Linked DNA regions of Saccharomyces cerevisiae S288C. Changing the gene in region 2 together with the main gene of any one other region gives a genetic interaction. Each region holds a gene or a part of one and is shown on either strand. Other genes may lie near its edges. The genes, in order: KDX1 and GRX5.

Region 1 (3,921 bases), on a different chromosome or scaffold from region 2:
CCCATTTGTAGAGAGTAATTGCTCGAAAGTAAACAGTGGGTAATCAGATTTCAGATGAACTTGAATTCTCAAGGGGTGTAATCTTTTCATCATTCAATCCCGCCAAAAGCACCTTTAAATGATATCAACTTTTTTGTGAAAATATTAGTAAGCTATTTAAAACGGGAAAGAAAACTTGAGAGAGGACTGACGAGGGAATCATGTTTATATTCGGATCATCGCGAATCTACGCAATGGTGTATCCTACTTTCTCACATTTTGGTTTTTCCCGCTTTCGGAAGGAACTGCAAAACCGCCGAGAGGACTTTCTCTTTTTGCAATATTTGAAGTATATACCAATAATTAAGAAGGTGAACAGGCATTTTACATATTCATTATAGATAGTGTATGTGCGCATCTATTAGTTGTGGTTTTCTGCTACAAAAATTTATCGTCTAAATAATTCAAGTTCTTTTTCTAGGTCGAAGAAAAAATCGCTGTCATCCTCATTTGTATTTTGGTTTGTACCATCATTGACATTTATATCGTGACCTGGGGGAGACGATGAAACTGGGCTCATTTTTGTTATATTTGGCTCAGTAGGTCCGTTCAGTAGTTCACTATTTTCATGCTTAGTATCTTGTTTGAAGGTGTTTTCCTTTTAGTTAACACCCTGAAATGAATTAGAGCTTATTCCCATAAGGTTTTGATATGGCTGGGTTGTAGTTAGTGATGGAAGTTGGCTTACATAGGAAAATTCAGGACTATAACTGGGTAAAACTTTCCTAGAAGGATGGACCTGTACAACTTCTTGAGGAATGGCATCCTCTAAAGATAGTGATGATGATGGGGAATCACCGCTAATAGGATGTTTTCTAACAACTTTCCTGAAATCAAATACTTCCTTTATAACTTCGTTTCCTAATTCCGCCATACTTTCGATATGCTCGAATTCGAATCTAAAGGTCTTTTGACATGAGAATTCCTCATCTATATCATGCCACATTGACAAATATGGATGCTCTAGTGCATCCTCTACAGTAATCCTTTTTTTAGGATCAAATTCTAGCATTTTCTTTAGCAATTCAAGCGCTTCTGGATTAGCACCAGGTAGTATGCTTTCAAACGATCTTCCCGGGATATTACCGAACTGAAAGATATAATTATACACCTTTTGAGAGGCAATTTCCTGCAATGTTTCCTCAGGTGGTGTTCCAAGTATTTGTAGAATATGATTCAAATGATCTACATAATCCTTCCCTTCAAACATTGGTTTCCTACCAAGTAGTTCGGCCAAGATACAGCCTGTTGACCAAATATCGACAGCTTTTGTGCATTCTTGATAATTCAGCAAAATTTCTGGTGCTTTATACCATATCGAGGTTATATAACCCTTAATGAAGCCGTCGTTAACCTTGTGGTTTTCTGAATAACTACACGATAGCCCAAAATTACAAATTTTTAGTTGGCAATCACTATTAACAAGTAAGTTTTTTGGTTTCAGGTCACAATGTAAAACATTAGCAGAATGTATGTATTTCAGAGCACACAGTATCTGATATATGAAGCTTTGAAAGTGTGCGTCTTCCAGGCGTTGTTCGGACCTTATAATTTGAGAAAGGTCACATTCCATTAGTTCTTCATATAAATAAACGCCATTTAGTGCCCCATTTGGGTAAAATACTATATCAGTATCGAAGAGCCACACTATATTTGGGTGCCCTCTTAAATGTCTTAGTAGTTTCAATTCACGAAGAGTTCTCTTGCAAGATAGTTTATTGCCAAACGCGTTTGGTATTTTTCTGATAGCCACGTGAGTTTCCTCGTTCGATTCTGTGTAAGTTGAAGAACAAATAAGGCTGTGTGAGCCCCGACCAATCTTACCTGTCAAATGAAAATGTTTATTTAGGATAAAATCTTGGCCGAATGCACGGAAAATACACCTCTCGGTGTCAGTCGCCATTTAATTGTGAATCTTTCTTCGATATCAAACTATTCCAGGCCGAATTAATCTGGCGGTAAGTCACCTTTAGTTATCCTTCCATTTTGTCCCTTTTCATCCAGTCTCAAACGACAATTAGGACTTACATTAAATAGGCTTTTTGCCTAGTATAACATCATAAAAGTACCTTCTTTTGTTTCTTCCAAAAAAAGACAGTAACCATCTGAAAAGAACGTCATTGTCGAAAATTACAAAGTTTGTGGCAGCGCTTTTTACTGCAGCAAGTCAATTGCTTTCATGGCATTTTCAATCAAAATACGAGTTCTTACTAATTCCTACGGTGCTTCCTGCATTGATTGATCGCGAGTTACTATTTTTAACTCGAATGGGTCTGCGCGTGTTTCTCCGGTGTTGTTCAAAATAATCTGTTTGCTGCGTTTAATAACTACAACAGTTAACGGAAACAGTGAAATTTATTGGGGACTTTCAAGTAACGAATAATCATGCTGGTAGAAATATTTCTATTTTTATAATTAACAAATCTTTTAATGACGTCTTGTGGGCTGAAAACTACGGCGTTTATTTTTTAGATAGGTTATTCCTTCGTTGGATTGAGTAAGAAAATGTCGATACTGTGTTACGTTTGCAAGGAAAAGATTTAGTTGCGATTAGCCATTCATTCTTGTGGAAACTTCTTTAAAAAGGGATGGCGATGGAGTACTTATGTCCAATTATGAAGTCAAATTTATTTTCAAACCGTTACACGTAGATTATTTTCCTGCAGTGGTAAGTATCTTTGAAGTGTTGAAAGTTTTTTGGCACATATTTTTTTGCGGATGTGGGCCTGAGTTTCCTGTTAGAAACAAAGATATGCTTAAAACTAAATAACATTGGAAATTAGGGCATAGTCTTCAATGTTATACTTAAACATCACAGCAGGAGATTGAGATGATTGAAAGAATGGTGCAAGAAATGATTCATTAACATTCTTCCAAGTTTTGCAATATTTGCAAGTATTACTATCAGACTTTAGTTGAAGTGACTATGCTATTACCAAATTTCACTGGAGCCAGAAAAATAAAGATCACTTAGAGACAAAGAAAAGTAACATCTTCAACATAAGCCGGAGCTCAAAAGTAGGAAATCGGATAAGAAACTTGATTCTGTTATTTCAAGTGATTTTTTGCTGTATCGCCCACGTTCTTGTTGTAGATGTTTTGTAGATGTGGGACCGAAAGTAAGTGAACAGTGAAGTAAACAGAATAGGATTCTAAAAAAGAGCTTATAAACTGTTCTTTAAAATTTTTTCTTTCGTGAATGTCCTCGAGCTATCTCAAAGAAAACGAAATCTTCATTCAACTTAAGTGTAGGTATTATTTGCTGTTTCATCAAATGCGGCACCAAAGTGGAAGTATTCTAGTCAGTTAGTTTTTCATTGTGAGGAATTGATATGTCGTTCTCTGATAGAACCACGCTAAGTTGGTGTTCAATTTTTTGCAATTCGGTAGTAATTATGCCTTGCAACATGTTTTATTCTTTTATAGTGTGATACCGTCAATATGATGATTTGCGGTGGAGCATGCATGTGCTTACTAGAAGTGCTGCTCTGGTGGGCATTTTAGGGACAAGAATAAATTCTTCTCTCCACTATCTGAACTTCCGTTATTCTTCTGCACGTAATTGCCGTTTTTAGGATTTTTTGGAGTTGTCACGGTATAGATATGTCTTATTGCGTGATTTCACGGTGTCTTGCACACAACATTTCCAGGTCACAATATTTGGTTCGAGGTTCCCAGCAAGAATTCATTATCCTTTTCAATGTGTCGCATTAAATCATTATCCAAAAACAAAAGAACTTAAGAAGTACAAAAGACACTTGAAGTATGCTAGCGTAAGAAATACGGTAACCAATATTTATATGTAACATGCTTATTCTGTCATGATTTCACAGTTCAAACTACATTCCTATTCAAAATCATCGCGTTAGTGAGACAAAATCG
Region 2 (2,811 bases):
ATTGTGTGTTCATTATATCCCTATCACCTTCAAAAGGAAGTTTGATCCTTTGACTAACATATTTGAAAGCTTCGCAGGGCAATAAAATTGAGCTCGCCTATTATCTTCCAATCCTTTTACGTTAAAAAAAATGGGGGAAAAGCAAACTGGTAACAGTACGGAATCTATCGAAAATCAAGAGAGTAACAAAGACAACCCCAACAAATGTCTGTCGCGTCTTTCGCACGTTGAATCAGAACGAAGATATGGCTTCTGTCATTCTAAAACTAACGTTTTTTGATTCAAGTCTATGCGGGGAATATTAAATATATTCATAATTCTCACTTCTTTGTTTTATAACGTCAATTCATTTGGCAAAGCAAAGAGAGGGGTTTGTAAGTAGAGAATCTGTTATTTACAAGTCTAAAGGCATGAGAATACATTACAAATCTTTAAAAAAATAGCAAATGTACATGCATATATAAATATGGATCGTAAAGGCCTATTATGCACACGAGTATTAAAGTGTTCGGCCACCAGTTCCTATTTTGCTTCCAGTGGTAACAAAATCAACGATCTTTGGTTTCTTCTTCTTCTTCAGGTACCAATGCCTGTGCCTCTTCTAGCAAATCGGCCAATTCACCAGAGCGTGCCATACTTGTAATAACATCACATCCACCAATGAATTCTTTGTTTACATATAACTGTGGAATAGTTGGCCATTCTGAAAACTCTTTGATACCTTCACGTAGCTCTGGGTCTTCTAAAACATTATAAGCCGCAAATTTGGCCGGGTCAACGCCTTGATTTCCTAATAATCCAATGGTTGCTCTTGAAAATCCACACTTGGGAAATTCAGGAGTACCTTTCATGAAAAGAACCACTGGAGCCGATTCGATGGCATCTTCAATAGCTTTTCTTATCTCTGTGCTCAAATACATCCGATTTTGGTAACGAAGAAGAGTCTTAGCCCGGAGGATGGGGGAAAATGACCTTATGGGATTGAATTTTGGGAGAAACATTGTCTGATTTCCTCAAATTTTTGCTAAAGTCAAAAAGTAAACAGATACCTTTGTGGCCTTGATATATGTGAAAAGAGTAATACAACTTCTTGTCCCTTTGGGACTAGAACGCATTTGTCATCAATACTTTATACCTTTACTTCCTAGAAGTGATTTATTTTGGTCGGGTAACGTTTTTCCAATAAGCTCAGATCAGTGCCAAATACCGGTTTAGACTCTTTACGGCACTAGTTATGCTTTATTGAATAAATTAAGCTCTGTATACTAAATTTAGAATCTCATGATTCCGTATGTAGTAAATTAACAGTTTGTACTATATTATAAAGAAGAATGAATGCATTGAACTTTTTGATCACAAGAAAAGTTGGCGTAGCAATACAACATACCTACTGTTCTCTCTTTGTTCGTGGTACCTTAATTAGTATTGTCGTAAGAAAATCTAAATGTCTTCTTTGGGCTAACTTATGATTTGCATACTTCTACAGTCGTCATAATGGACACCTTGTAATAAAAAGTGATGTGGTTCTCATCTGTTATAATAAATGGCTATGTGCGGCATTCGATGTCGTTTGAGATATTGACTACTAATGTATATTGAGATAAATCTGGCTGTTACCACAATTTGTCATTAGGTAGAAACGATAGCGCATGCTTAAAATAATTATGGATAGAAAACAGCAGTCGCGCTGTATGTAGAAAATATAAAACACATAAGTGATTCAGATCAGAACCCTCCTAAATCCCTAAAATATAGAAGTTCATTACATGGCAGTGATATATTAGAGGTTACCATCCTTTCTTAATATTGATAAGGCTACTAAATTAAGTGTTACTGGAACCTAGTTTCGCTTAATTCCTTTAGCTTTTGCATTCTATTTTTTCTTTTAATCAATCACTAATGAAGAAGCCTTAAGTCAGATAATGCCGTATCTAAGTATTCCTTTTGTAATAGCTCAATTTGTTAAAATACTCGTTCTCCTTGTGTTCTAGTGCATCAATTATCCATAATAATAAGCATATACTCGTACTGAATTATTCAATGGCCTAAATGGCAAGCACTAGCTTGCTCGAAGTTACTAACTGAACTATAAAACATTTTACTCTTTCAATTACTTTTAATTGAATCTTAAGCAGAATCAAAACTGCTTATGACTGCCATATGCTCAATGCGATGGCTCATATTTTCCATTTACATGAACCCCAGTTTATGTTCAAGTAGTATATGTTCTTAATTCAACGCAAACTGCTGATTTCACCATTGAATATTGTTTATATATGATATATACCGTCAAATTACTTCACGACAGTGTGAACTGTGATAAATCACTTGTTCCAACAAAATCCAGTACATTGGGTATTCGATCGCAGGCAATTATATTAATCGGGTATGCTAATATGGATTAGAGCCGTAGAAGCAGAACAAGGAGAATTACTTAATATTTGAAGTTCATTTAATATTCTTTGATTGTTGGAACGAGAGTAATTAATAGTGACATGAGTTGCTATGGTAACAATCTAATGCTTACATCGTATATTAATGTACAACTCGTATACGTTTAAGTGTGATTGCGCCTATTGCAGAAGGAATGTTAAACGAGAAGCTCAGACAATACTGAAGCTGTGTTAAAGACCTATTAGTTGAACATGATATGGTAGGTACATATATGAGGAATATGAGTCGTCACATCAATGTATAGTAACTACCGGAACCACTATTATATTGGTCATGATTAATATGACCAATCGGCGTGTGTTTTATATACCTCTCTTATTTAGTATAAGAAGATCAGTACTCACTTCTTCATTAATA

Evidence for each region.
Region 1: of GRX5 (region 2) and KDX1, changing one enhances a phenotype caused by changing the other (phenotypic enhancement), as found in Saccharomyces cerevisiae (one study listed by BioGRID).

What each region holds. Positions count from the first base shown.
Region 1 is NC_001143.9:148,746-152,666, forward strand, and holds KDX1 (putative protein kinase KDX1), read right to left. Parts: upstream 1,943-3,921; coding exon 641-1,942; downstream 1-640. Other genes in the region: YKL162C (type II protein arginine methyltransferase), read right to left, coding at 1-93. UniProt on the Saccharomyces cerevisiae protein: Serine/threonine-protein kinase involved in the SLT2 mitogen-activated (MAP) kinase signaling pathway that regulates cell wall integrity. May also be involved in the mating pheromone and the CWI MAPK pathways.
Region 2 is NC_001148.4:442,769-445,579, reverse strand, and holds GRX5 (monothiol glutaredoxin GRX5), read right to left. Parts: upstream 1,002-2,811; coding exon 549-1,001; downstream 1-548. UniProt on the Saccharomyces cerevisiae protein: Monothiol glutaredoxin involved in mitochondrial iron-sulfur (Fe/S) cluster transfer. Receives 2Fe/2S clusters from scaffold protein ISU1 and mediates their transfer to apoproteins, to the 4Fe/FS cluster biosynthesis machinery, or export from mitochondrion.